Regions from separate parts of the Mus musculus genome. Here all the other regions are reported to be linked to region 4. The links are microRNA targets in miRTarBase. Many come from high-throughput screens and were not tested one by one. Region 4 holds a microRNA gene; each other region holds the end of a gene's coding sequence.

Region 1 (5,062 bases), not on the chromosome of region 4:
AATCTCTGTGACTTTGAGGTCAACATGGTCTACAGAGTGAGTTCTAGGACAGCTAGAGCTACAGAGAAACTCTGTCTTGAAAAACAAACAAACAAACAAACAAACAAACAACCTTTGGGGATGTGTGCCTAAGAGATCAAACCCAGGGGTCATACGTGCTAGCCAAGAGCTGTCACTGACCTACATCCCTGACAGAGACAGGAAGAGCACCCTCCCTCTCCACCTCACCACACATCCCAGGCTATCACTATAACCCAGGCTGCCCTCCAGTTCTCCATCCTCAGCACCTTGAGTTCTCGGACTACAGTAGGCAGTGTCACACCCGCCTGAAAGGCATTTTAGTCTCTTAAAAAGACTTTTTCAAATGTTTGTTTTAGGGGACAGGATCTATGTAGCCCTGGCTGTCCTGGAATTTCCTTTGTAGACCAGGCTGGCTTTGAACTCATAGACATCCTCCTGCCTCTGCCTTCTGAGTGCTGAAATTAAAGGTATGTGCCACCATAAATTTCAGTCTTTTTATTTGAAACAGGACCTTGTAGTTAGCTCTGGCTGTCCTGGAATGATGTAGACCAGGTTGGCCTCAAACTCAAATGTATCTGCTAGCCTCTGCTTCCTGAGTGCTGGAATAAAGCCACCATGCCTGGCTCTACATTTCAGTCTTAAAGTCAAGGTTAGGGACATAGGTTCAATGGTATAGCATTTGCCTAGTTTGTACAAGACTGTGTGTGTGTGTGTAAGGATAGCAAATATTCCAAGAAATGTTAGCACATTTAGATTGTTCAGCAAGGGCTCTGCTTATTTGGATAAGAGATTTGGGATCAGCCTTAGCTTGACAAACCTTTGTCCCCACCCAATGCCCTGATGTGCTAACCATCAACTTCTGGTGTAAGTTTGGCAGCATCTCTTCTCAGGGAGCTCCCTTCCACTGTCACTCCCATATCCCAGATTAATAACCCATTCTTCCAAGCTGTGTTGTTTCTAGGGTTAACAGTCTCCAGCTGAACTAACAACCCAGCATTCTGGGTTGGGCCAATGGGAATCTGACAACTATTATTCTCTTGGGTGATACTCTACTAAAACATGCTAAGGTTGGGGCTGGGGAGATGGCTCAGTGGTTAAGAGCACTGGCTGCTCTTTTAGAGGTTCTGAGTTCAGTTCCCAGCAACCGCTTGGTGGCTCACAGCCATCTGTAATGGGATCCGATGCCCTCTTCTGGTGTGTCTGAAGACAGCGACAGTGCACTCATACAAAAAACAAAACTTGCTAAAAACAGATGCAGTCAGAGGATGGGTTTCTTCTGCCACCGCATCAGTTCTGGTGACCAGACTTAGGTATGCAGGTTGACAGGCTTGGCAGCAAGACAAAAAGAGCCTTTACCCGCTGACCCAAGTGGCCCGGAAGGTGTGTGTCTGTTTGTCTATCTTTCTGTCTCTCTCTCTCTCTATATATATATATATGTAGTCTCCCCTCCCCCAGCCTGAAACCTGCTTGCTCAGGGGTAGAGCTTGCCGCTGGAGCCGGCCGGGCCGTTTTCCTGTTCCGAAGCCATCATGTGGTCACCCTGCTACTGGACTCCAAGATTATTTGGCAGGAATCGGGCCCCCTTCCCCTGCTTCATAACTGCATGCAGAATAGTAAAATTGAGCTTTGATCAGAATGACTGTCTTAGCTGCATCTTTTTCTCGCCTGCCTAGTCCTTCTTCTCTTCCAGGTTTTTAAAATGCCTTTCCAGGCTAGAACCCAGGCCTGTGATCTGCTGGCCGGACACAACATATATATATATATGAATCTTTTTAAACTTTTTGAGTCTTTCTGTGTAGCCCTGGCTAGAATGGAACTCTCTATGTAGACCAGGCAAGCCTCAAATTCGCAGGGATCTAGATGTCTGTCTGCCTTCTGATCACTGAGATTAAGGTGTGTGGCACTACAAGTAACCAGATATTTTCTATTTTAATGGTGAAATCCTATCTCATGGAAAGGAAACTGGGGAATGATGGATCTGGGTTCATCTCAGGATGAATATTCTGGCTACTGTGCCTTAAAACCCCTCTGTGGAACAAGTAACCATATGTGGCCTTCTGCCCCTAAACTCAGTCATGTTTAATTGTCTACATGGCCCACTGATTAGAGCCAGCAGACCTCTGAGTTGTGAACCTTGGCTGACTGCTCACTGCAGAGGCAGCAGGGTACCACATCACCATCTCAACTGGGAAGCTCATCACCAAGTTTGTCAAATCACAACCTGAAGATCAAATGAAGCAGCGGAGACCTGTGATGCCCTGATGCAGCCGGGCTCTGGACCTCTGGACGTAGCAGCTATAGCCACCAATGAAAAAACAGGCCTTTGTCAACAGCATGAAAGAAACTGCCCCGTGCTCGTCTTTACTCCAGAGAAGCCCTGACTGTTGCCAATGTCTCCAAGGACAGGAATCAAATTATAGGAACATTAAATGTCTCGTGAACTAAGCTTTCCTCTTGTTAAATTTCCAGGGTCCCACTTTTCCAGTCAAGAGTAAAAGAGAGCAAGAAGGAAGACAGGAGACACCCCCCCTCCCCCATACAGGGACCGAGAGAGGTCAGGCTCAGGACGAATCACCTTTGCACCACAGAATCCACACTGGCAAGGACTTGAGTTACACCCTGACCTGGCATGCCTTTCACCCCAACAGCTCTCTGTACTTGCCCCACATCAAACCATCCTTCAGTTTTCAAAGAATATTGACTTTCTCTCTCCAGCTGAATGGCTGGCACTTGACGTAGGAAGATAAGTCTTTTCATGAAGCATTTCTTTTTTTTGTTTTTTTTTTTGAGACAGGGTTTCTCTGTGTAGCCCTGGCTGTCCTGGAACTCACTTTGTAGACCAGGCTGGCCTCGAACTCAGAAATCCGCCTGCCTCTGCCTCCCGAGTGCTGGAATTAAAGGCGTGCACCACCATGCCCCGCTATCCTGAAGCATTTCTGTTAGATACACCTAAGCAAATCTTTCTAGGCAGCTTCGCAGCTGGAGCCACCTTCCCAACCCAACTGTTTTCAGGAAACTCAGCCGCGTCAGGTTTAATTGTAGAGCCACGTGCAGCTATTAGAATGATTCAGCTAAAACCCTTTGGACAGAGACCATGGGAAATGTGTGGCAGGGATCATGTGTCAAGGAACTCTCCTACACAACAGTTGATAACTGAGCTTGTGTGGAGGTTTCAGTAGGGGACAGAAGACCAGCTCTTTGATGGTGAAGGTGAAAGGGGACACCTGCTTAGCTGACCAGAGCAAACCAATAAATCCTGGTGGTCAATAGGGTGACAGATGGCACAGCCAGAGTGCTCTCATGCCCTAGAGATGACAGCGAGGGAACCTATCAAACACCATCTAAATTAAGCCACACCACCAAAAAGATATAGAAAATTATTTTATTTTGGTACGTATGTCTGAGGACACAGACATGCTACAGCACATGATGGCTCTCTCCTTCCACCATGTGGGTTTTGGGGACATGAATTCAGGCTGTCACGCTCGGCAGCAAGTGCCTAAACCTGCTGAGCCTTCGTTCTAGTGCTAATACTGGAGACAGTAAAAGGCCCTCATAATCCAGCACCTTGCAGCGGAGCACAGCATCACCTCCATCCTGCCCCAGGATCAAACAAGCCAGGCAGGCTTTCACCATGTAGCTTGGGCTGGCCTGGAATTGAAGGCAGTTCTCCTATCTCAGACCCCCCATGCCAATTTAGATTAAGCTAACACCCCGTACCTGGCTGGCTCCAGGGCTCATGCCACTGAGCCATATTCACCATCTGTGAGATGGTTTTACAGTGCAGTCCAGGCTAGCCTTGATCTTAACGGGATCCCTGTGCTGACTCAGCCTTTTTTTTTTTTTTTTTTTTGGTTTTTCGAGACAGGGTTTCTCTGTATAGCCCTGGCTGTCCTGGAACTCACTTTGTAGACCAGGCTGGCCTCGAACTCAGAAATCTGCCTGCCTCTGCCTCCTGAGTGCTGGGATCAAAGGCGTGCGCTACCACGCCCGGCCTAACTCAGCTTTTTACCCGCAGGGATTTCTGCTGTGAGCCACCACACTTGGCCAGGCTTGGATTTTAAATTCTTAACTCTCAAATGTGTTAGCATTCTTTTTCCTTTCTTATTTTTCTTTTTTTGTCTGTGTAGCCCTGGGTGTCCTGGAACTCACTCTGTAGACTAGGCAGGCCCTGAACTCAGAGATCGCCTGTCTCTGGCTTCTGAGTGCTAGGATTAAAGGTGTGGACCATCATCATCTTGCAATATGATGGCAAGAGGATCTAAACTTCAAGGTCATTTTTGGTCACAGAATGAGTTTTATATAAAACTCTAGTCATTAAAAAATTTGAGGGCAGTCAAAAAGCTCAAGGTGTTTGCTGTCAAGCCTGAGTCTGAATTCTAGGACCAGCCTGTAGGAGAGAACTGACTCCTGCAAGTTGCCCTTTGAACTCCCCACATTCACCAGGGCATTGCCTCGACCAATGATATTAATAAAACGAACTCCAGAAAATACGCATTAATGGGCTTTAGAAATAAAACCACACTTTTTTGGTTTGCTTTTGGAGACAGGATTTCTCTGTGTATCACTGGCTGTCATCAAACTCAGAGATCTGTCTGCCTCTGCCTCCTGAGTGCTGGGTTTAAAGGCATGTGTCATTGCACCTGGCTAAAAACCGGAAAGTAGTTGTTCTTAGGCTCAAAGTTAGAGCTCCTTGAATCCCCAGACTGTCCATCATCAACAAGCCGCTGTCTACAGATGTCTTCTTACAAAAGCCCCGAATGTGAAGAACTTTCTGTGGCGTGGGGAATGGGCACATGTTGGCTGGAGCGGAGTGCTAGAGGCTTGCTGTATTTGCACTGAATCCAGACGCGGTACATGGTCAGCTGTTTCCCTCGATTCACCTGCAAGCGGCGATCCACCAGGTTCTGCACCTTCTCCAGGCCAGCAGCGGTGAAGAGCGTATCCAGCTCACCTGGTGTGAAAAGAGCCAGCGTTACAGAGGCTGCTCTGGAGAGAGGGTGCTCTGCTAGCGACTCTCCATGTGAAGTGGAGCCTCGAC
Region 2 (5,069 bases), not on the chromosome of region 4:
CTACTGGATATTTTGACCACTCTCAGAAGACCCCAGGATATTTTGATTCTGTATTTATAGATAAACAATTAGACCAGCTATATAAGTATTGAGAAGTGATTTTTGGCAATACAAACACAGAGTAAAATTTTTTTAGCTAATTAATTTTCTATGTATGTAACATTTACCATTTTTATATTAATCATGTATGTGTGTGTGTGTATGGTGCGTATGGTGTGTGTCTGTCTGACTGTGTGTATTTGAGTGACAGCAAAACATCCATATGTATAAAATAAAAATAAATAAATCTTAAAAAGAAAAAACCAACAAGGCCCAGTATGGTGGTTTGTATGTGTTTGGCTTAGAGAGTGGCACTATCCGGAGGTGTGGCCTTGTTGGAGTAGGTATGGCCTTGTTGAAGGAAGTATGTCACTGTGGGGGTGGGCTTTGAAACCCTCCCTCTAGCCATGTGACAGCCAGTCTTCTGTTTGACTTGCTGTAGAACTTTCAGCTCCTCCAACACCATCCCTGCTTGGATGCTGCCTTACTTCCTGCCATGATGATAATGGGCTGAACCTCTGAAGCTGTAAACCAGCCCCAATGAAGTGTCCTTTTTAAGAGTTGCCTTGGTCCTGGTGTCTCTTCACAGCAATGGAAACCCTAACTAGGACACATGGTCTGAGTGTGGAGGTCAGAGGACAACATTTAAGTGTCAGTCCTCACCTGCCACCTTATTTTGAAGACAAGTCTCTCTCGTTTCTTTGCTTCCCTTTGCTTCTAGGCTGGCCAGCTCTCCAGCTTCTGGGCCACTCTCTGCTTTCCACTTCAACTAGGAACACCAAGTTGACAGTGCTGTCATAACTGGCTTTTGGTATGGGTTCTAGGGATCTAAATGCTGCTGCTTAGGCTTCAGCAGCAAAATGCCTTATCCACTGGGCCCTTCCTGTGGCTCTTTTCTAGTAAGTTCCAAAGTAGTCTCTCCTATGGGCTTAATATATCATTTAAAGTTTACAAGGAATATTTTATGTATCATAGAATTTCTTTTCATTCATAGTTCAGCTTCTATTTTGCCCAACCACAACTTGTTATCACTATAAGCTAGCTTTTGCAGGATGTTCCTAGCTTCTCTCAGAAGGGTCCCACATCTGTTCCAGCTGGCTCAGTGTCCTAGTCAGGGTTTCTATCCCTGCACAAACATCATGACCAAGAAGTAAGTTGGGGAGGAAAGGGTTTATTCACCTTACACTTCCACATTGCTGTTCATCACTAAAGGAAGTCAGGACTAAAACTCACACAGGGACAGGAAGTAGGAGCTGATGCAGAGGCCGTGGAGAGATGTTACTGGCTTGCTTCCCCTGGCTTGCTCAGCTTGCTTTCTTATAGAACCCAAGACTGCCAGCCCAGGGATGGCACCACCCACAATGGGCCCTCCCCCCTTGATCACTAATTGAGAAAATGCCTTACAGCTGATCTCATGGAGGCATTTCCTCAAGGGAGGCTCCTTTCTGTGATAACACACAAAACCAGCCAGCACACTCAGGTAGTATCTATTGCAGAGAAAAGTCTCAGGAAGCTTATGCACTGCTTTGGTACCGCTACACTGGAGAAGGCCCAAGGAAGAGAGTTCCAGGCACATTCTACTGACCTCAGTTTCACTGTCAATCATTTTAAGTATATTGTAGTTTAATTTTTCTCTCTAAAGCTATATTCATGGAAAAACCAGATGAAAGCAATTGTTAACAATTCCGCTCACTTGTGGGTGCATTCATGCACATATGTCCTGTGCCCTGCTAGTGAGCCACACCCTTACAGTCTTACCTAAAAATTTCCTCTTTTTCTCTCTGTCAGTCTTATCCCCGTCCTCTTACAACTAATATACTTCCTGAAAATTATTTACTTTGTCTTCTGGGGTTGAGAATTGAACCCAAAGCCTTATGTGTGCTAAGTAGATAACTAAACCCGAGGCTGCTATGTTTTTAATTTCTGTTTTGGCATTTGGCTATTTTGCTGGAGCATGTCTTGCTAAAACCTTACAAATGTCTGATGACTAAGTATTGTTGAGAGAGAGAGAGAGAGAGTGAGAGAGAGAGAGAGAGAGAGAAGAAACAAGCAAAAAAGCACGGCCAATTCTTATTACTTCTTTACAACCCAAAACCAGACTGCAGCTGTTCTTGTTTTGATTTTGACTGGAAGCATCAATGCTGACAAGTACTTTTCCACGAGACTTTACAAAGTGGTCAGTTTGGTGGGCTGTTGCAGCAACTTTTTTAGTGACCAATCACTGTACAAAAGAAGGCTGAGACCACAGGCAGTCAGTCGCTTGAATGCCAGTTTGGATTATCTAACTCAGGGATCCACAAAAGCAAGATGGTGGCAAGGATCATGACACAACGTTCATCTGCACCAACACCTTTCAACCTGAAGCCGTGCCTCTATTGTTCTGGCTCACACCGTCCTCTGCATTCCCTTCAGAGTGACTGACTCAAGACTGTCATTGATCCAAACATTCTCAAAGAACGTGTTGCCTCTTTGGAAACAGCAGAGCAAGACGGCAAACTTTGCACAGACCTTTCTGTTTGCTTGCTACTGTTTAACATGGAAGAAAAGCCAAAGGGAAGGGGGATGCCTGGAAACAGATTCCAGCGGAGAAGACAAAGACCCAGGAGCTTTCTAAGTTGGTTAGCCATGATGAAAATGGGTACCTCATACCCACCAAGCTCATCTTGATTTACATCCCCATTGCTTTGCTTGTTCATAAGTGCAAATGGTAAATAAAATCAAGTTGTCGAGTCAACGTTTAGGTCATGACAAGTTTCCCTTGTAAAGGAAGTCATTTCCTACCATCTTGACTTTAAGGCTACAAAAATCCTTGATGATCCCAGCAGACAGATCAAATGGCACACAGTGCTTAGTATTAGTGGATGCGGAACAGGTTCTCAGCATACTGAGAGTAATGTGTGATGTGTAATATCTGTCTGATGTGTAACAGGTTTGTTGCCACCTGACTCTCTGACTTGCAAAATAGGAAGTATTTCACAATGCTTCATATCCTTGCGTGCCATGAGCTTCCTGCTCTAGGCTACAAGCAGCCCCCTCTTCTCTCCCAGCGGCGGCACACTGGCTTGCTGGTATTTACTGCCTTGCTCTAACAAGGCTGATGGTAATTTAATTTCTCCGGCTTTTAGCTTGAGATGGTGCTACCCTGCTCCGTCTGTTTTCTTGTAGAGTTCTGACATCCCAAGGATGCGGTGTGAACTGTCTCCCCACCCACCTCTCTGCTCTCTCTGTTGTGATGGTGGAAAGCATCCTGGGGACTCAGAAAAGGAACCAGCCACAAACCTCCAGGCCATTTAGATCTTTTGTCTGTTGAACCTTAATGAATGAAATAGCCACCATACAATCAACATTAACTTCAATAATCTTTTTTTTTATTACCTAAAAATGACAAGCCAAATCAGTTCAATACTGACCATGGCAGAAAACACAAATATCTCACTAAAATAAATACTAACACAGTGGAGATGAGTGAGGCACTTGCCTTGGGCACAACATTTAGGGAGGCATTTTAAAAAAATCCCTCAGCAATCAAGATAAATGATATTTTATCCCAGTAGGTTAAAAAAAAAAAAACAAAACCCCAAAATCAAAAAACAAATTTTAACTCAAGAATCGTCCACAGTGCTTTGCAGAGCCATCTTGGAACTTAGATGAAAGAGAAGATAAGATGAATCCTGTTTTGTCCAGAAATATGATTTTTCTGTGGTTCTCACTAGCTTTATCCTGGCCCCAAGCCTGCTCGAATGTTCCCAGCAGGCAATGTCATAGCCCTCCCCACCTCAATAGTAATTCAGGGGACAAAACATTGGCAGTTATTGTCAAGTTTAATTGCCACCTCTAGTTGACTGACTAACAGCCATAATTGAGGCCCTGCTTTGGTTGTCCTTTCAGTTAAAAGGTGTTTCCCAAGCCCAGAACTAGTCTTTTTTTGGTCCCTATAACCTCAAGATACCTTATTACCAAAAATCCATTGCACAAAGCACTACTAACCCGCTTGGAAAAGCGCATCTGACCCAATCCCTCAAAAATTCCGCCGCCCACGGTAGTTGCCACGGGTTCTCTCCTTGCTAGTCTTGGCCGAAAGTTGCCTGTGTGTCTTCTTCCGATATTCCACTTTAGTCCAGCCCCCTTCGCTCACCCTGCTCTCCTCTTCCCCTGCTTTGGAGGCAGTCTCAGGGTGCAGAGGCATCCCGGGTATGGTCCTGGGCACACGGCGGTCATGGTCATTTGGGCTCCTCTTGAAGTCAGGGGACTGATGAGTGTTCAGCGCTGACTGGGGCAGCCTGTAGAACTTTCCAGAATATCTTTCTCTTGAAGGTGTGGAATGCTGACTTTTCCCACCATATCTTCCTTTCGGGGAAGAATTGAGGGACACACTACCACGGTAGTACTTGTTTCTGCTTCGGTCTGAGTAGCGGCCCCTCTCGGAGGAGCTGTCATTGAGGCTGGAGAAGCCGCTGTCCCTGGAGCTGAGGTTCAGGGAGGAGAAGTTTCTGGACAGCCCATACTGCGTGGGGGAGGAGCTCCGGGAAGGGTTGATGCTTGGTGTAATCTGCTGGTACTTCACCGGAGTCTGGGTCCTCCTCACCGCAGCAGCATAGGAATCCTGGTTGGCAAAGTAAGGGAAGAAAGGAGACCCCAAGATAGGGTTGCTTTGGGAACGCTGTAGAGAAGTGTGGGATGCAATCTGCCGCATGCGCAGAGTGTCTAACCATTGGCAGTCCGCACCTGCAGGGGAAAATGGAAATGAGCATCTTTCATGCCACAAAGCTGCATGCCTAATTCATAAGCCTGGCTCAGGCAATCAATCTCAAGGCTGCTTGGGGGCGTGCCAAGCATTGCCATTCATGGAAGTTCTAGGTAGGTACACGGGGACCTTTTTCTTTACTACCACGAACCCCTAGTGGGAAAGGTACATTGTCATTAAGGATGTAATATGGTTAGCATTTTTTTTTTTTTTTTTTTTTTGCAGCCATGGTCTGACTGTATTAGAAACTTCACATACATGGAACAGTATAGTATCACAGCATTAT
Region 3 (5,075 bases), not on the chromosome of region 4:
TAGAATCTAGAATATCCTACTCACCTATTCTAAGTTTGCAGCAGCATGCTCTCCAAACTTCCAATTTCCTTCACAAACCAATTAAAAATTATTACAAACTACAATACCAGCTTAACCATAGAGTGACCCCTTTCTCAGAAGCAATTTTAGATGTTAGCTTTCAAAGACTGACAAAATGCCCAAAGTCCACTCACTTAAATGAAGGTTGTATTCTAGCTCTGAGTTTCACTTGGACTTTTAATTTGAGGCTTGTGATGAGGCAGAGCAGCATGCAGTCAGGAAGCTATGACAGGAAGGAGTGGGACCCCCAGCACTACTCAAGGTCGCCAGCATTTGCTTCTTCTAACTACACTCCACCCTTTATTCCACTAGCTTCTAGCTCAATACCAGCCTGTAACACGTGAGGATTTGCAGAGAATGCAAGATGTATATCATAACAAACTTAAAAAAGAAAGAAAGAAAGAAAGAAAGAAAGAAAGAAAGAAAGAAAGAAAGAAAGAAAGAAAGGAAGGAAGAAAGAAAGAAAGAAACAAACCCGTGTGCCAGGATTTAGACACCTGTCCATTTGATCTGTGGAAGGTTACAGGCTTCTTGGCAGAGATAAGCCTGGGCATCTTTGTACATCTTGGTGAATTTCTTTTTATTCTGTTTACAGGAACCCTAATGGTGAAGGGCTGCCTCATTGGCCAGAATATGACCAGAAGGAAGGATACCTTCAGATTGGAGTCCCAGCACAGGCAGCCCATAGGCTGAAAGACAAGGAAGTGGACTTTTGGACTGAGCTCAGAGCCAAGGAAACAGCAGAGAGGTCATCCCATAGGGAACATGTTGAACTGTGATCAGGAGGCCCAGTCATGTTTGAGAGTCTGGAGCTAAGAAAAGGGTGACTTTTTGTCAGATATTGTTTCCAAAATCAATCGTCTGACACCAGTGGGACACAATAGGGAGAAACATTTGATTTTATGCTTTCAAATTTTTGGTTTTTGTTATTTGGTTACCTGTGTAGTCCTGGCTTTCCTGGAACTCACTCTGTAGACCAGGCTAGGATTGAAATCAGAGACCCACCTGCCTCTGCCTCCCAAGTTCTGGGATTAAAGACATGTGACACAACTGACTGGCCATATGCTTTCAATTTTTAATGACATCACAAATACATTCCCTTAGAAATCAAACCAGAGTCTCTGTCTTTGGCTCAAAATGGATCTATATACATTAGTGTACTAATAATGTTTTTGTACACTGTATAAAGTTTACCCTTGTGTTATTCAAATGCTCATTTCTCTTCTTTTGTGTCTTGTTTCATTCTGAACATGGCATTGTAATGCTTATATAAAGTATCTCCTGTCTCACATCTGTGTAAACATTTCTTGCCACTTATTCACTGCCTTGTCAATAAATGCTGACCAGTGGCTGAGCAGAATAGGGAATAGGGCAGGACATCTGCCAATGAGAAAAGGAGAGGGGAGAGGAGGAGGAGGAGGAAGAGGAGAGGAGGGGGAGATTCATATATCAGGGGCAGGATGGAGAAATTAGAGCCACCAAGAAGGGATCTGAGCAGCCACATCAATAATAATATGCAAGTATCAACCGGGTGAGAGGCAGCTGGATTAGCATAGAAAGTAAAGGTAGATCATTAAATTACTCAGCTATTGAGGCAAACTTTTAAATAAATATTGGTTTACCAGTGTGATTATTGGGGATTAACATAAAGAAATATAGCCGCTGGCTTAATTCACTGCTTACATTTATATTAAGAATAATTCATTTATACATTAGAGAAGGGAGCATGGAGAGAGATTCAACATCATGAGATGCCACCTCCACAGGAGGTGGATAGATGATTGACTGACCCAATGTCTATGCTCTCCCAAGCACACTGTGGCAGAGGGGAGATGGTTTTTTGCTACTTTTTCCTGGGTCCCATGACAGATTTGGGGCCCATAAAGTAGTAATGGAGGCAAAGGAAGACTGAAAGACAGCAGGGCAAATTACTAGACCCTTTATATTCACAGACTTATATGTCTTATGGCATGGCACATTCTATTCAGAAAATAGCACCAACAGGCTACAATCTCCTCCTCTATAGACCTGAAGGTTGTGGTGCATATGATCTCTCTGAGCTGGCTCTGCTCTTACTGCAGCTGTTCTACAGAGGACATCTGTAGGTTCCACATGTGTGGACACATGGACATAAGGATGTGAGTGGTTCCACAGTCTGTGGTTATTCTGACATGGCATACATTGTCTGCTTTTCCTTTGAAATCCATGCCAAGGATTCCATGAGCCAATAATTTGCATTCTGTGTGCCTGAAGACCCAGCATCATGGATGATGCCAATGGCTGTCCCCAGACGGTAGAGCAGAGAGGCCCTTAGAGCCTAGCTGTAGAAGCTCCTTAGTGCTTAGGTCAGCAGGCAGGGAAACACACCCTCTCCCTCTCTCATGGCTTGCAAGACAGGAACTATGAAAATTCTATTCTCAAGGAAACATGTTAGATTCTTGAGGGCTATACATGGGATCTGAACAATTCCTGCAATGCCCATGAGGCTTCTTTCTCCTACAGATGAAAATTTGTGACTAATTAAGTCTTTAATCTTGTCATCTCCCATAATTATCTTGTTCCCAACATCAAATGGACTTCTGCTATCAACCTGCATGTTTCTTTATTACATTTTGCTGCTGTCTCTCACTGTAAGCAGAGCTAACAGCTCCTACCAAAAACCAAGGTCCACTTGAATGCTGTTCAGTGAGAAGTTTCCACTACCAGCTTACTTAAGCCCCCTTTAATCTCAGTCACAGGCAAAATCTCAGACTGGGAACACAGTGTAGACAACTTCTTTGCCCAAATAAAATAAAACTAGCCTCTTAGGTATTTCCAAAGTTTTACTTTTAAAACATGGCATTATTTACGGAGTTCACTCTCTAGTACTAGACAATCAGGTTACCAAAAACCAAACAACAAAGGAAAAAAGAAAGAAAGCACTAAAAATCTCATAATGCTTTAAGTAAGTTTAAAATTTGGCCATCCTCTGCCAGATGCCTTCAGAGTAACTCCACAAGCCTCGCTACACTCATCAATTTATCCAACACTTTAGTGGAGTGCACGTGATGACAGGCCTGAGATATGGGTAAGCCATGTCCCATTGCATGCTACACTTAGCTGTATTTATGACAGGGTTGGGCCATGTGGAGAACACTAACCTGAGAAGTCAAGAGACTCAGATTCTACCACCTGGCTTTGCAGACTTTTTTTGAAAAGACGGTATGAGGACGGGGCTTTTGGGAAAGTTCTACCTCATACATCCCCTTTCCAGGGCTTGCCACTATACATCACCAGTGTAGACTACATTGCCCTGTTTCTGGAATCTTCACTTGTCTCATACTGTCACATTTTGGCCACTGTGAAAGCTACCAGAACCCAAATTAAGTCACTTGAGTCCATTTGAAGCAAAAAGTAATGTCAAGAGAGTTATAAGAAGGGAATCAACATTACAAAGGAGTCTGTCAAAATCACATCCTTCTACAAGTGCCATTGTAACATGCAATTAGCATATTCTGGGAGGATTCCAGTCTGGCAGCATCTTTTCAGACTTGAACCAATGTAACTGATCCTTGTAGTCAATGAATGGTGTTTCAAAATAGCATTTTAAGAACAATCCTGATGGTTTTGCCTTTAAGTTTCCTTTAACCAGTAGCCTCCAGCAATCTCCATGGCATCTTATCCTGCACCCCAATGTCCTATGTTTACTCCCAAATAAAGTATCTCTCTCCCTCCATGTTTTTATTTAAAGGTTGACTCCCATGGACATACCATCTACAGCATTAGAGTTCTGTCAGTTTATTGAATCTTTTTCCTGTAATATGTTACTTCAATAAGGAGCTTTAATACTATTCCCATAAATGGAAGAGATGTATTAATTACAATAATTTGAAGGCTGGCATTGAAAATGTGCCACTTTTCTAAAACTGTATAAACAAACAAAATTATAACAGACAAAATAATGCCATGTTAAAAATAATATATCCCTAAATAATCATCCAGTATAGACACTGAATCACTGATAGTCATTTAGTAGAATAAAAACTCCCTACCTTGTCCATCATTGTGACAGGCAGTTAGCCAACAAGGGTCCTGATCACTGTCGACATCTCCTTGAGCTTCAGAGGATGTCGTCTGACATGGAAAAAATCAGTCTCCCTGGAGTCAATCTTGTCTCAAGACCAACTGGCAGAATCTTTTATACATCGATGAGACCCATTGGAAGAACTGCTCTCTTCACGCATACACCTGGCCATCTCAAGGGGCATAAAATACACAACCCTGACCACGCACACCAGAGAATCATCTTAAGACTGAAAGAATCTATCCGTGAGAAGAAGACCAGGTGTGAAATGAGAACAACCTGAAATCCCTGAGTCTAACAGAGAAAATCATAAACTCAAGAAGGAAATTTAAGGAGACACTAGAAAATGCAAAGAACTCCCATGTTCATGAATAGGGAGAATTTGTATTGTCTAAATGGCAATAACATGCAGAAAGAAATATACAGGTTGGAGGCAGCACCCTTGGCGGGCCGCAGACAGCCAGCCACCGTCCGGACCAGAGGACAGGTGTCCGCCTGGCTTGGGAGGCGGCCTCAGCCTCAGCAGCAGCGGTCGCCATCTTGGTTCCGGGACTCAGCAGAACTTAGGAAATTAGTCTGAACTGGTGAGAGGGTGCGCCAGAGAACCGGACAGCTTCTGGGACAGGCAGAAGCACAGAGCCGCTGAGGCAGCACCCTTGGTGGGCCGCAGACAGCCGGCCACCGTCCGGACCAGAGGACAGGTGTCCGCCTGGCTTGGGAGGCAGACTCAGCCTCAGCAGCAGCGGTCGCCATCTTGATTCCAGGACTCCCTGGAACTTAGGAATTTAGTCTGCACAGGTGAGTGTCTGCACCACAGAAGCTGACAGCTTCTGGGAACTGCCAAAGCAACACAGCTTCTGAGAAAGGCCTTGTTTTGGGCCTTCTTCTTCGGCCAGGAGGAGGTCCAAAAACAAGATATCTGCGCACCTTCCCTGTAAGAGAGCTTGCCAGC
Region 4 (5,075 bases):
GCAAGCACTTACTGGCGGATCTACCACCACAACCTTCCTAGAGATGTCTTATAAATTCTCAGGACATTTGGGAACGTTTTGTTCATCGAGAATAATAGCTTTTGAAGCACTTACGGAAATCAAAATGTAAGTTTGCACTTTATTATTTGGCTAAGACAGCAATCCTTTTTCTATAGCAGCTGAAAAATATTGTTGTTTTGAGTGTTTATGAACATCCACATGTGCATGTGGGTATGGAGGCCAGAGGTCGATTCCTGAGGCTTTTCTCTATAACTCTTCAACTTTATTTTTTAGACAAGGTCTCTTACTGAATCTTGGGGCTCACTGATGCAGCTACATTGGCTGCCAGCAAGCTCTGGGGATCCCCCACCCCCAGGGGGATTATAGCTCTATACTACCATCCCTACCACTGTCATAGGCATTTTACCAACCGAGCCTCTCCCAGACCCATAAGCATAAACATCCCAACAATATTCCGTTGTATAGGGTACAATAATTTACTTAACTATCCTCAATAATGCAGGTTTAGTTATATTCTTTATTAAGTAATGCTGTAGGAAACACCATTTAAAAATCTTTACTTTCTTTTTATAGCTTTAATTTTATTCAAAAATTACTTTGAAACTTTATTAACACTTTACAGACTGTTTACAATACTGTCAATATCATTATTTCCATAGAAAAGTATTCTCTTTACACTATCAATAATTATGTTTTTATGTTGCTTTAAATATATTTGTTGAGTAAATATTACACACACAAACTGACGAAGAATAATGTGCATTTAAAATTTTGATAGTTCTCTAATTTTTAAGGGCCATGCTGTTTGGAAGTAAAAGGAGAAGCTAAGAGAAAGGCCAGAAAAGGAACATCACTTTCACACAAACAGTGATGCATAAAAGGATGTTCCACAGTAGAGATGTAAAGCATGTTCTAAGACTGTGTTTCTTCTGAGGCTTAGGAATTACAAGGGTTACAATGCCTGTTACATGCACGTTTGGTGTGGATCGGAGTTAAACATGAAGGAGACTGATCACACGCTAACACTGTTATTTTGGGTGGTGTTGAGGACCTAACCTTGGTCCATGCCATCAGTTTTTAAGGCCATATGACTGCTGAAGTTGCAACTATCACATGCAAAGTGTGGGCAAAAGGTCCAAGAGAGGTTCTTCTCAGTTCAGCCAGTCCCTTTGTGCAGCTCTCCCCAATTTTGCTTAGAGTGTATCTTAGGTCAAATCTTAACAAAGGAAGAGGGCCTTATTTTGTGCAGAGCAAAGTTTGGTTAAAAGGGGATGAAACGAGCCAGGAGTGGTGGCACACGCCTGTAATCCCAGCACTCGGGAGGCAGAGGCAGGCGGATTTCTGAGTTCGAGGCCAGCCTGGTCTACAAAGTGAGTTCCAGGACAGCCAGGACTACACAGAGAAATCTTGTCTCGAAAAACCAAAAAAAAAAAAAAAAAAAAAAAAAAAAAGGGCATGAAACAGAAGATTAATGTCAGAATTGCACCTAGGTGCCTAGCAGTCCTTGGCCTGTCCCCTCCTTAGACATGACTGGCAGCAAGCTGACTAGGTTTACCATGGATCTGTTTTGGACTGACTATCCTTTTCTATCGGACAAGAAAAATAAGCATTTCTATGTTGCTAAGTTCTTGGCTTATTTGTAAGTCAAGTGTAGTGAAACCAAGTTGTAGTCAGTACAAGGGTCCCCTTCTCTTCCCAAAGCGGCATAACTTAAGAAGCCCTTTCCCTGAGAAGTACACCCTGTGCAATTACCAACCATAAGCCATGTTTAGCAGTCGGGTGCTGGGCTTGGGAAGACTCCAAGCTTATTACTTTTCATCACTAGCAAGACAGTCAATATGACCTGATGGCCATGATCTCTCCGAGCTGATTTGATTTGCATGGTCAAAATAATATCAAAACAAGTAGCATTTAAATTTGCATCATTGGTATCAAAGGGGGAAAACCCCATTTCCCCCCATGGGACATTCATGAAAAAAGGTGTCCTTCAAGCAGTCACTGTACTGGCACTGTTGCTGCCCAGTAAGGAGGTCGCTGCTTAGAATACTTCAACACAGTTCACTCAAATGACTCAAAGTCTCTTGCATAGTTTAGGTAAAACTTTGATTTATAATTTGAAACACTGTGATACTGTGGTTAAAATGGGCAGGAAATGTAAAATGACATGAGCTAATCCTAAGGGTAGGTTCTATAGTTAAACAGCAAAAGCTTTCAGAAATGCATTCATTGATGGTACAAAGGTAAAGTGGATATGAAGCCAGTGTTTGTGTGAACCTAACAGGGAAAATGTTCAGTTAACCTACGTTAGACCCTTGAGGATGTGTATTTCTAAGCATTATTAGATTTATTTTGGGCTTAAAAATATTTTACCAGTTGTGTGTGTGTGTCCACCAGTTTCTGTGGACCACTGTGTACAGAAGCCTGAGAAGGCTAGCAGATCCCCAGAACTGGAACTGTGAGACGCTGTGCTATGGAGGTGCTAGGAACTGAAAATGGATGGGTCCTCTGCAAGAGCAGGTATGTTAACTGCTAACTCTAGCTCCTTAGGATTTGTCTTTTCACATGTATGATGTTTGCAGGTATGGCTCTACATACGTATGGACACATGTGCACTTAGATTATCATCAGGAGTCTTCCTCAAGAACTCCACCGACTGCTCTCCAAACTCCCTCCCCTGAGTCCAAAGTTTGCTGATACAGCTAGTCTGGCTAGCCAGCTTGCTAGAAAGATCCCATTTTTGCCACCTGAGGGGTGGGACCACAGGCCACAGGCTGGCCACATACTCATTTGACTTTACATGGGTGCTGGGGATCCAAAACAGTCCTTCCACTTGCATAGCAACTTGGTTAAACCACTGAGCATATCCCCAACCCTCATTAATTTTATGTTTTAGGAGCCTGTTGCTACAGTACTTACAAAAATATCAGCTTGATCTTGTCCTGTATAAATCTATAGGCACTTGACTTACTGATTTCAAACACTTCATTCACACATAAAGCTAATACTTAAGAGATACATAATCAAGTACTTATCACACTGAAAGCTCTGAGAAGCTCTGTAGTGAATATTTGTTTAACTCTGATTCTGCTATTCTGGTAAATTATTATAGTCTAATTATGACTTTAAGTAAAGCCAAGAGAGGGACACAACGGAGGCAAATGGCTTCCAAGAATCCTGAAGCCGTCGTGAGTTCTTTCAAAAGGCGCTGTTTGCTTATCAATGTAACATTTCCATGTTTCAAACAGAGAACCTCATCAAGCCAGTTTGCTTTTATGGTGATGTCTCTGATGCTGAAAGAGACCAGACTTCTGCCTGAAGGCTTCATTGCATTCACTGCACTTGTAGGGTTTTTCTTCATTGTGGATTCTAACATGCTGATCTAAGTGTGAATTTAGGCGGAAAGCTTTCTGACACACATTACATTTGAAAGGTTTTTCTCCAGTGTGAATCCTATGATGTCGAATAAGGTCGGAGGTCAAGCTGAAGGCTTTCCCACACTCATTACAGTGATGTCTTTTGGAACGACCATGGACTCTCTGATGGTGGGTGAGGAGGAGGGCCCGACTAAAGGTTTTCCCACACTCCTTGCATTCTCGGGGCTCATCCTGACTGTGAATTTTTTGGTGTCGATTAAGATGAGAGCTTCGCCTGAAGTTCTTTCCACAATGGATACACAGATAGGGTTTTTCTCCAGTATGGATCCTGAGATGCTCCAAAAGACCTGCATTCTGGCTAAAGACTTTTCCACACTCTTTGCACTGGTAAGGCTTCTCCCCAAGATGGATTTTCTGATGTCTGATGAGGTGTGAACTTCTCTGAAAGACTTTCCCACACTCTTGGCAGGGATGACCTTTGTCTTTAGAGATTTCCTGATGGTCAGCAGCAACAGAACTCTGAGATCCTACAGATTCCCAGGACATTTCTCCTGTATGTGCCCTGTCATGTTCAATCAGGCCTGAGTTCTGAACAAGTCTCTCCTTAGTTTCCAAGCATTGGCTGTTAGTTTTTTCCTTGGGCATGGCTGGATTCTTTTTCAAGCTCAGGTCCTCACACTGGGCCTCAATGGGTTCAGTCATGGTACAAGATGATTCCATTCTTCCACAAGAGTCTGTCCCTGCAATGAGATTCCCATTCTCACTCCTTGTCTCTTTACCTGAAATAGTAAATATATATATCACTAATTATTTTATTTTTGGTGTTCAGGGAAAGGAATCTGCAAATAGCAGGAAATACTTAAATAAAGCCATGTGTATAAATGTAAAAACATGTTATGTGTGTTTTATTTGCATGTATGCATGTACACAACATGCATGCAGTGCCAAGGAAACCGTAAGAGGCTGTCCAGTTCCCGGAAACTGGAGTTACAGAATGTTGTGAGCTGCAATGTAGTTGACAGGAACTGAAACCAGATCCTCTGTAAAAGTTTTCTTAAGAGATGAGATCGCTTCAATCCTCACAAAGTAAAAAAACAACAACAAAATTTTGCTCATGATTATTTTATATATATATAAAGAGTGATTTACAAGAAACTGTGGTTTTGTTTGTTTTTTTTGAGGTAAGTTTTCACTATGCAGAATAACATGGCCTAACCTAATCCTCTCCTCTCAGGTCCCACAGTTACAGCACCACCACGTCCAGCCTGACATCTGGGAAAGTGTTAACCAGATTGGCTTTGGGGAAGGGCAGGGGTTGTGGTGGGAGGTGATTTATTTTAAATGTTCTATATTTTATTATGTGACATATGTTACACACACAGAAGCTACTAAGCATGACTGCATATTCTTGATCATGATTTGTCACCTGGGAAACAAAAAAGCACCATAAATCAGGTCACCCGAGGACCATCAAGTTAAGCAGGGAAGGTACTTTGACAAATGAAGATGAGTTGACATGGTGCCAATTTTATCACTGAGTAGTATGTAATCTTGGAAAAAGTGTTTACGTTCTTAACAATAAATCAACAGTACCGGGAGCATAAGACCTTGAGAATAATGCATTCACAAAAACATCATGTTGAAATATGATTTGTTCCCCTCAGAGGGGATCTATAGCAG
Region 5 (5,075 bases), not on the chromosome of region 4:
AGTAAACAAAAATTAGTGACATCACAGAATGGCATTATCCCATCTACACACCTTCTAAAACTTGAGAATGGAGCCTCACCTTAACCCTCGGCTCCTTTCTCCTTTTGGTGCCAGGAGCACAGCTAAGAAACTAGTGCACGAATCTCTTGCTGATTCATTCCTCCATTCCAAATGCAGCCTCACGCAAGTAGCTCCCTGGGCTTCTCTTGCTATTTCACATTAGCCCACCATAGGTAACTACTGTTTCTTTATGATAGAGTATTACTGACATTAACAAATATGTCTCACTTTCCTTTGTTTCCTTGTAGGTGTCGTCAGTACCTGCGGATGATGAAACAGCTAACTCTATACACAGCTCTTAACATTTATGCTGCATTTTAAAATTATTATGACACATTTCTTACTACATTTTTTCTTTACTTCTTTAAAAAAATATATTGGGACCATTGAATAACTGGAAGAATTTCAGTGAACTCTTCTCTGATATTTCTTCAACTTACTTTCTTTAAAAAAAATAATTTATTTTTTAAATTCCTATTAGATTACTATTATACCACCCGTACTTTCCTCAAAACCCTACAATATACGCACCCCCACACACACTCCTTTTCCAATTTATGGACACAGTTTTCATTAGTGTTGTTATACGTCTCTTTCTCTCTTTTTCTCTCTGTGTGTGTGTGCGCGCGCACGCGCATTTCTGTGCGCATTTGTGTGTGCATGTATATATGTCTTTCTGTCTGTGCCCTCCTCTTTCTCTAGACACACACACACACACATTCCTAAATACATAAATACAGCCTGCCCAGACTGTATTGCATGGCCTGTATTGTGTTTTCAGGGTTGACCATTTGCTATTGGATAACCAGTTGGTGTGCTCTTCCCTCATGAACTTCCTCATCTACTTTAGCATGTCTGTCAATACCCTCCTTGTTCAGACCATGTTTCAGGAGCCATGTTGATGAGACTTCATGGGTGCAGCTCCGGAGACTCCTGAAAGAAGCAAACTCCCTGATCCTCTGACTCTCACCATCCTCTATCTCCACTTTACTTTCATGTTGTAAGGAGTCTCGAGTCTCGTGGCCTTTGTGTCACATGCCCCTGTATTGCCCTTTGATTTCGCTCCAGCTCTCTGTCTAACGTTTCCTTGTCTGACTCTTTTCTTCCCTCTCTTCCACATCCCATGTCACGAAAAGAGGCATCAGAAAAAGAAGACTCTGATCTAGACAATCAAGCTCGTTGTAATCAGGTGTCAGTGCAGCGATTGACCCTTTTTGTTTTTTATATATTCATTGTTTGAAACATTCAACAGCATTGGATAATCAGAAATATTATCATAAATAGCTGAGTATGTTATGATTGGTTTTAAAGAATTTTTAAATATCACTTATGTATAACTTATATATTAAAAAGACTAGAATAATTTTATGTTCACTTCAAAACTGAATGGAAAAGCACAAAGTGCCCATGTATGTGTTTTGTTCCATTGGAGCACTGTCTGCCTTATATCAGTGTACTACTCCAGAGAGAGGTATTTTGTAACTGATAGACTCACATTGGTAGATCCTTATCAAAGGTCCGCCTTTAACCAGAAGTGGTGGCTCCCCTATAATTCCAGAACTTGAGAGATTGAGGCAGGAGCAGTGTTATGAGGGGTGGCCTAGATTACCTTGGCTCAAAACAAAAAAGTCATAGTTTATATAAGATCTCACAATTGTGGTTTTACATTCCACGGGATTTAACAAATGTTCAAAGACATATATGCATCATTACACTCCTATAACACAATAGTTTTACTGTCTTAAGAATCATGCGTAGCCAGGCAGTGGTGTACACCTTTAATCCCAGCACTTGGGAGGCAGAGGCAGGTGGATTTCTGAGTTCGAGGCCAGCCTGGTCTACTGAGTGCGTTCCAGGACAGCCAGGGCTATACAGAGAAACCCTGTCTCGAAAAACCAAAAAAAAAAAAAAAAAAGAATCATGCGTGCTCCACCTATCCATCCTCGGTCTGCTCTGACTCCTGACAACTACTATCTCTCTGCTCTCTAGTTTTGCATTCTTCAGAATATTGTGTGGTAGCAATCCTTCACTTACTAATATGTGTTTCGATTCCCTCACTTCTTGTTATGGCTGTTTCTACTTTTTGGCAAGTATGAATAAAGCTGCTATCAACATTCATGTACAAGTTTTGTGTGAATGTCAGTTCCTTTGTATGACTACCAAAGAGCATAAATATGCTATCATCAGTGTGCTAGGTTTATTTGCATTGCTATGATATATATTCTAACAAAAACAAAAAAGGAATAAACAAACAAACAAACAAAAAAAACAACCTAGTGGAGGAAGGGTTGTTTGGCTTACAGTTCTGGACTAGCATCTATCATTAAAGGCAAATGAGCTGACACTCAAGCAGCTAATCCCATTGTATCCACAGTAAGGAGCAACGATCTCCTTTCTATTTCACTTCCATATATCTCTTACGTATCTCATAGTCCTGTCCATCACCCCTTTTAAAGTTGTATCTGCCCAAGCTCCTTCATTTTCCATTTATAGGAGTGGTTTTCAACCTGCCTAACACTGCAACCTTTAATACAGTTAATTCTAAATGTTGTGGTGACCTCCAACCATAGAATTGTTTTTGTTGCTGCCTTATAACTTTTGCTACTGTTTGGAATCATAATGTAAATATCTGTTTTTTCTGATGGACTAAGGCATATCCTGTGAAAGGATAATTAGAACCCCAAAGGGGTCAAGGCCTACAAGTTGAGAACCAAAGCTTTATAGTGTCTGGATCCCTGCATGAAATCATACAATGTTATCTACATTAATAAGATCATTATCTATAACCGGATACCAGAAGCACATGTCGTAATGCTCTAAGATCTTTCATTACACTTGGTCTCCGGGAACCATATGAGCATCCTTGCTTAGAAAAAATTGATGCTCCTATGTTGTGCCACAACTTTCTACCTCCCCTGACCTTTGTAAACTGTTGGCACCACACCAATGGGCCAGTGTTGAATTCAAATACTTACATTTAACCATACAAGTTAAATTGCCTCAATGCTGACTTTGTTTTCTGTTGTAACGTTATTCAGTTGTTTAGGCATTTATCATTTCTACTGCTTTGCAGATTTTTGTGAGCCAGTCCTTTTTCATTTTCTTGTCATCTGAGACATCTAGGAGATCTAAAAATACCAGCTAAAACTTTAAAAATAACTTTTCTAATGAACTATCATTTTTCAAACTTCACTTTCTTCTTCATGAAGAGTTTTAGAGATGTTTTTTCCATTACATATTATAAACGAGTTTACATCTCTTTCTTATGTTATTATTGGACAAAAGTGTGTAAGAAAACTGGAGTGCAAAATACAAAATATAGAGATTGGTAGTGGACATTTTCAATATATCATTTAGACACTCAACTTATAAAATGATAACTTTAAATAATTTACTTAAATTTTATGTTTTTATATAATAAGTTACTGATTTAAGTATTAAAAGTATACCAATTAGATCTGAAGTCCCAAACAATGTAACTGAATAATGGAAGGCCTGGGTTAAAATTCAGAAAATCAATATTAATCTTTCTTTGGGTCTCAGTCTTTATTGCTTATGGAAAATTTGATGCTAAAATGTACCATACATCACACAATGACAAGGTTGAGAAAATGAAAAGTACAAAGCCTTACATAAATCAACAAAAAGATCACATCAGAGTGCCTAAAATTTAACAGAATAACTATTCAAACACCCACCTCACCCATTTCAGCTTTGTGGAAAACAGTATTCAAATTAATGTTTTGGAAAAAAATTGTACTTTAAACAAAAAAAAAGCATTGGAAGCTGGAGAAATGGTTTAGCAGTTAAAAAGCACTCCTCTTCCAGAAGACTCGGGTTCATTTCCAGCACTCACATGTCAGCTCACAACCATTGGTAATTTCAGTTCCAGATGATATGATGCCTTCTTCTGGCCTCCACTAGCACTGTGCACATACCTGGTATAAAGACATGCAATCAAGGAAAATACTCATACACTTTAATGGATAGAATTTTAACTGCTTGCAGAAATTTAATCTCAATTTCAATACTTTCTCCCAATACCAGTTCATCCTTAATTTTCCTTCCTTTGAAAAGTCCTTTTAGTACTAATGTATATGTTGTTGCTTAATGCTTAGCTTTGTCTTTTGCTGAAAAGCTCTCATGGAAATGGTTTGTTTTGTGTGTGTGTGTGTGTGTATGTGTGTGTGTGTGTGTGTGTACATACATACATACATACATACATACATACATACATAAGGACTCCTGTTCCAACAATTTGTAACTTTTAAAAACATCTTCAGTCTCAGCCTGGTTTTCTTTGTTTGTTTTAATGTTTGGCATTAGATCAGCCATATCCTCAAATATCTCAAAAATAACATTAAACCTCCTCTGTTCTAATTTTTCTTAATGTACATCTATGACTACATTGCTTTGCAAAATTATTTTGTCTATCTGATGATTACTGTCCAATTACAAAATAATTGTAGCTTACCATTCTGTTGACGTTACTGTCTGTAATTATTGTACCCACTGCTCATTACAGTGGAAGGCACTACTAGTTTTACTAATCTGAACTAACGTGGCCTTGGTATACTGTGTTTCAAGATGAAGAGTAACATCTAAATTATGGACCTATTTTCTGTCTGAATAACAATTGGAGCAGAGTTATTAGTGCACGTATGAATGAAGATAATACCCCAAGCATATCATTGCCAGATTTATATTGGATTTTTTAGGAAGAGAAAAAGGAGTTGAATTCATCAAATTATCATAATTTTAACTCATTTAAAAGACTTATTTTAAATTAAAAGTAATTAAGGAAATTACCTGGGAATATAGTAGTATAGTATGTTCTACTTTTTAATACACACTTAGTACTATTCTAAAGAGTCCTTTAAACTTTAACCAGAACTCAAGTGAAAACAGTCCCCACTAGAGTTGAAATCTCACTGAATCTGAAGTAGAGTGTAAGGAGAAACTTCTGGGGAGAAACTATCACATAGAAAAGATGACAGACATCTGAAGACAGCAGG
Region 6 (5,063 bases), not on the chromosome of region 4:
TTCCAGGAGCCCCTGGCAATGGTAAGGTAAGTGGGGTGTGGCATGGGGCTGGTCAGTCAGACATGGGGTGAGTCTCAAGCAGAGCCCTAATGTAATAAGATGCCCAGGTAAAGACAACACCAGAAAGAGGGAGAAACCCGAGGCACAGGGCATGGAGTGGGGGGAAGCAGAGGAACCCTAGCTGAGCTGTAGACAGTGAAAAGCAGTTATGTCACAGGGTGGCCTGAAGTTCTGAGTAGGCCAAGCCTTGGGGGTGGGGGTCGGGGGTGGGGTGGAGCAGCATCCTGGCAATCCCTGCCCAAAATCTGGATGTGCTTAGTTGGTGACCCATTTACTGGAATTTGCTGTGTGCTGTTTAACTTCGGCAACAGTTTTAAATAATGAGCCGGACTACACCCTGCCCTGCACAGAGTGCACAGGAGGGTCAGCGTTCATTTGGGCTGGTGGGCACAGGAGGACTGAGCCTATCGGCAGGCCCTACCGAAGAGAAGCCTCCCGCATCCTTCCCCGCACCCGGAGACTGTTAAGAGTTGATGGCCGTGACCTTCAGGTTGTAAATGCTGGGCCAGCACCCAGAGGCTCACCCTTATTCTCCCGCTTCAGGTGCTCGATCTCCTCGTGGAGTTTGACTAGCGTCTCCGAGTGCTGCTGCTGTAGGAACTGCAGGCTCTTTTCCAGGTCCAGGATCCGCTTCTGTGCTTCGCTGAACCCGAGCGGAGGCGGCTGCGTCCCCGCGTGCTGCAGGCCGGCGGGAGGGCGCGGGCGTAGGCGGGCCGCGCCCCGGGAGCCTGGGGCCGCGGAGCTGAGGGGCCGAGCCCCGGCCGCCAGCCCGGCCCCGCTCATGAAGGCGTCGCCGCCGCTCAGTACTGGCTGCTGGAGCCTGGCACTCGGTCGCCTTGGGAACCGGCGCGCCGGAGAGGGCGGGGCGCGCCGCGGGGCGGGGCCTGCGGCCGCGTTCCGCAAAAACCAAGGCGCCAGACTCTTGAACTGGTCCGGAACAGTAGTTCTTATGAGTGCTGTGTGCGGTGCGTGTGCCTGTGGAGACCAGCACTCGACGTCCGGTCTCATTCCCCACCTCATAGATTTTGAGAAGAGGTCTGTCTCGTCTTGTGACTAGCTGGGCTGGCCCGTGAACCCCAGGATCTTCCCATTTCCCCGGCTTCCAGCGCTTAAGATCCCGGGTGTGCGCCTTCCCTCCCCACTTCTCATGTGGGTGCTAGGGACCCGAATTTAGACCCGAATTTCTCCTGCTTGGGCAGAAACCACTATACCTTCTGAGCCATCACCCTAGCCCCGCTTGTACTTTTGAACCAGGGTCTCACTCTGTAGTGCAAACTAGCTTGGAATTCATTGTGTAAAACCGGGATTATAGATGTATGCCAAAGCACTGGCTTTTTTGTTTTTGTTTTTCGAGACAGGGTTTCTCTGTATAGCCCTGGCTGTCCTGGAACTCACTTTGTAGACCAGGTTGGCCTCGAACTCAGAAATCCGCCTGCCTCTGCCTCCCCAGTGCTGGGATTAAAGGCGTGCGCCACCACCGCCCGTCGCACTGGCTTTTAAAGTGGGTCTTAGTCTTTCATTTTAATAGCTCACATTTTTGGATACATAGTAATAGTTTCACAAATCTTCCAACACTCACTGAATCTTTGTGTATAAATAGAGCTGTCTGAACCAACACAAGAGAACCGGCCAGCCCACTTCTTTAATTCCAGCAAATGGGAGACAGAGGCAGGTGGATCTTCCAGAGTTCCGAAGTCTGCCATAGTGAGTTCCCGGAACAGTCAGAGCTACACAGTGAGAACCTGTCTTCAAGAAAACAAAAGTCCAGTGCTTGCCTTTACCTAGAGAACCCAGCCAGCAGGATCAAAAACAAGAAAGTCCTGGCTTTCTAGACTTTAGTTTTTTTTTTTTTTTCATTTATGCGTACCCGTATGAGTATATTCTGTGGGTGTGCATGTGTGAGCATTGAGCCCCGGAGCTGGAATTACAGGCAGCCTTGGGTGTCTGCTGGAAACCAAACTCAGGTTTTCTGGAAGAGCAGGAAGCTCTCTTTCTTAACTGCTGGCTCATCTCTTATCCACGTGAAAACTAGGCCACTTACTTTTTATGACATGGTAGATTTGTTTGTTTGAGACATAGTTTAGCTACATAGGCCAGGCTGACTTCAAACTCAGAGATCTGCCTCTGCCTCCTTTCTGAATCCTAAGATTAATGCCTGGTTTGGAAACTTAATTTCTAAGAGAAGGCTATGCAAAAGTCACCTCCCAATGGGTCAGTGTTTGACACTTGTCTACCATGTCCATGTCCCAGAGGTCCATCCTTTGCACAGCAAAAAGCCCGATCTACATAGAGTTCCAGGTCAGCAGAGCTACATAGTGAAATCCTGTCTTCAAAACAAACACACACAAATAATAAAAAGATCATTTCAAACTGATCCTTGAAGCTCATACCTATAATCCTAGCCTAGGATACAAAGTTTCATTACAGACTACACAGTGAGATCTTATCCTAAAAATAAACCAAAACAGGGAGATGGCTTAGTTGAGCATCCTATTTTATTTTTTGTTGCTGCGATAAACACCGTGATCAAAAGAAAAGCAAAGTGGGCATCAGAGGGTTTATTTTAGCTTATAGGTTAGAGTCTATCATGGACAGATGCCATGAAGGAACTCAAGGCAAGGCAGAAGCCTGAAGCAGAAACCAAGAGACTGCTTGGGGCTTTCTCCCCAGCTTACTTTCAGCTACCTTTCTTATACAGCCCAGACCTACCTGCCTAGGGATGGTACCACCCGAAGATAGCTACATCAATCAAGAAAAGGTCCCTTTCCCAGGTGAATCAAGTTGACAACTGAACGCTGACAACTGGTGACACCTGCTTTGAGGCCTAACCTAGTTCCATTCCTCAAACCTCTGACCTATGTCCATACATGGCACGCATGCATGCACTGCATCCCCCACACTCCAATAAGTCAGTCTAAAACATTAAACTCTGGGGGCACTTGAAGGAGTAAGACATGACCTGTGTGTGTGTGTGTGTGTAACTGTCAAGAGAAAAAAAATTTAAAAAAATATTCATCTCATAAATAAATACAGGCTAGGTAAAGAGTTGGCACAAGCCTTTGATTCCAACACTTGGTAAGTGTACGTGTATCTCTGAGTTCAAGGCCAGCCTGGGCTACACAAGAGTAACTATCTCTATCCCCCACACAAAAGATAAATATTGATAGGGTTGTTGGTAAGGGCTAGTCATTCAGCTCTGACCAGGGGAATTGGAAACAGTGGGACACTCAAAAGGCAACTTCCCTTCCCACCACAAGGAGGTTGTACTCCTGGGAAGATGCTGGCCTGGAGCTGGCTAGTATAGGTCAGCCCCATCTGCCCATGACTCTAAGATTCTGGAGGCTGAAGAGATGGCTCAGTAGTTGATTAAGAGCACTACAGAAGCCTGGAGTTTGGTCTCCAGCACCCACCCACTCCCTCTTCTTGGCCTCCTTAAATGCATACATATGATGAACAGACACAAGCAACATTCACTCACATAAAATAAAAATGACACTGTTTAACAAAAAGGAAGTTTCTGGAAGCCAATGTGGTATTTGTTCTGGATGACAGCCAGTTCTGAGGTGTTAAGCAGGGAAATCAGTTCTCAGGGCACCACAGGGCCTGCCCCCACCTCAGGGTTAGTCTGCCTTGTCTTGTTTCTGCAGAAGTTGAATCCAACATGCCCTAGGCATGAAAGGGGACTTTCAGTCAGAAAGAACTCCATCACGAGGTAAGGAGGTACCGTGTCCAGGAGCTTGCTCCACAGTTCCCAAATGCCCAGGGACCCTTGGCAGGTAAACAGGCTAAAGATTCAGCCCAGACAATCTCCGAAGCAAGAATGGTTTATTCGGATCCTTGTTCAGTTATGTTTTGAGCTGACTTTTGGTCATGGGTCCCATGATGTATTCTGAAGTTACATCGAAATACAAAGCCCAGTGATAACTTTGAAAAAAAACAGGTTGGTATTTTTTTTTCTTTAAAAACAGCTACACACCCACAACAAAAGGGCTGGTTTAAGAACACCTTGGAGATGGTGGTGTTCACCTGCAGGGTGAACTTGAGCCCTTTGGTGTCTTAGCTTTGATGTGAAGGTGTTTTTTTCATACAGGTGTTGTTACAAATGTGACGCTCCCTTAAATTCCTTAGTTTTACAGGCAAAACCAATGCTTTTTTGCTTTGTGTCCACAGAGGCTGGCCAGACCAAGCTCCAACCCCAAGCTCTGTCTCTTAGAACCCTGCTTCTCCCCTGGAGTGGATATTGAGCTGCTTGTGTGCCCTTGGACTGAAGGTGAGGAGCCATGGCCAGCACTGATTGTCTTACACAATGGCTTATGAACCTTCTGACACTGACCCTTCTGTGTCAGGCCTGCCTGGATCACTCTCCCTTCCAACTCTTTGTTCTTTTGAATAACTCCACCACTGCAGGGAAACTACTCCCAAGAACACTGAAGATGACCTGCCCCTCTATTCCTGGCTTCTAAGCAACCTGCCACAGTCTGCTCAGGAGAGGATGGCCAGCAGCTCAGAGCTGGTGCAGCTTCCCCCGTTCAGTGAGCAGTGTCATAGCTATGGCATAGAGGACGTATCCTAGGACCAGGAGCAAGGAGCAGGACAGGGGCCCAATGCAGAACAGAGAAGCCACAAAGAAGGCCATCAGGAGCAGGAGCAGTGTCCGGTAACTGCCCAGGAAACGGAGGCTGAGCCTGGGGCCCCGTGCAGGATTGGTGACCTGCCTCCGCCCTACAGGGCTCAGCAGATGTCTGTTGCTCAAGGCAGGCTCAGTGAGGTGGTAGCGACAGAAGCTGCCAAGGAAGTCATTCCGGGAGCACAGAGCTGCCATCTGGCCTGCAAACTAGAGAACAAACAAGGACTCAGCAGTTGGAGACACAGAGCACCCTCCCTTCCAGGATGCCTCTGGGACCAAGTGATTCTCACGCAGGGCCGTGAAGGGCAGGATGCTACCTAGGGCAGGAGCACTCTCTGGAAGCTATGTCTAGGGCATCCCAGCTGTCCCTGCTGCT

The links. Region 4 holds the annotated microRNA mmu-miR-1896 (CUCUCUGAUGGUGGGUGAGGAG, at 3,554-3,575, shown strand). A microRNA usually pairs through its seed, bases 2 to 8, with sites in the 3' UTR of a target mRNA and lowers its output. Matches are read on the target gene's strand: a 7mer-m8 pairs with bases 2 to 8, a 7mer-A1 pairs with bases 2 to 7 and ends in A, and an 8mer does both.
Region 1: the mRNA of Mettl2 is a reported target of mmu-miR-1896. Seed matches in the 3' UTR shown: 7mer-A1 at 4,575-4,581 and 7mer-A1 at 3,893-3,899.
Region 2: miRTarBase lists Map3k20 as a target of mmu-miR-1896. The part of its 3' UTR that is shown has no 7-base or 8-base seed match.
Region 3: the mRNA of Ces1g is a reported target of mmu-miR-1896. Seed matches in the 3' UTR shown: 7mer-m8 at 1,054-1,060.
Region 5: miRTarBase lists Dph6 as a target of mmu-miR-1896. Seed matches in the 3' UTR shown: 7mer-A1 at 1,933-1,939.
Region 6: miRTarBase lists Smpd4 as a target of mmu-miR-1896. Seed matches in the 3' UTR shown: 7mer-m8 at 3,151-3,157.

The regions. Positions count from the first base shown.
Region 1 is chr11:105,139,474-105,144,535 of GRCm38, reverse strand. It overlaps Mettl2 (methyltransferase like 2), which reads right to left. Exons shown (of 9, transcript NM_172567.3): 9 at 3,390-4,975. The coding sequence ends at 4,767. Among named protein-coding and RNA genes, the nearest start is that of Mettl2, 16 kb to the right of the region's middle.
Region 2 is chr2:72,440,927-72,445,995 of GRCm38, reverse strand. Map3k20 (mitogen-activated protein kinase kinase kinase 20) reads right to left here. Exons shown (of 20, transcript NM_023057.5): 20 at 3,386-4,764. The coding sequence ends at 4,058. Among named protein-coding and RNA genes, the nearest start is that of Gm39847, 21 kb to the left of the region's middle.
Region 3 is chr8:93,298,669-93,303,743 of GRCm38, reverse strand. It overlaps Ces1g (carboxylesterase 1G), which reads left to right. Exons shown (of 14, transcript NM_021456.4): 14 at 656-1,375. The coding sequence ends at 839. Among named protein-coding and RNA genes, the nearest start is that of Ces1f, 21 kb to the right of the region's middle.
Region 4 is chr13:21,441,656-21,446,730 of GRCm38, forward strand. Mir1896 (microRNA 1896) reads left to right here and starts at 3,505; the gene lies at 3,505-3,585. It overlaps Zscan26 (zinc finger and SCAN domain containing 26), which reads right to left. Exons shown (of 6, transcript NM_001347491.1): 6 at 525-4,174. The coding sequence ends at 3,276. It overlaps 4930470G03Rik (RIKEN cDNA 4930470G03 gene), which reads left to right. Exons shown (of 4, transcript NR_151504.1): 2 at 1-126; 3 at 2,416-2,538; 4 at 3,267-5,075.
Region 5 is chr2:114,513,526-114,518,600 of GRCm38, reverse strand. It overlaps Dph6 (diphthamine biosynthesis 6), which reads left to right. Exons shown (of 9, transcript NM_025675.5): 9 at 309-2,183. The coding sequence ends at 362. Among named protein-coding and RNA genes, the nearest start is that of Gm31146, 86 kb to the right of the region's middle.
Region 6 is chr16:17,642,305-17,647,367 of GRCm38, reverse strand. It overlaps Smpd4 (sphingomyelin phosphodiesterase 4), which reads right to left. Exons shown (of 19, transcript NM_001164610.1): 19 at 2,538-4,894. The coding sequence ends at 4,565. Ccdc74a (coiled-coil domain containing 74A) reads right to left here and starts at 898. Exons shown (of 8, transcript NM_001166164.1): 1 at 585-898. The coding sequence starts at 843.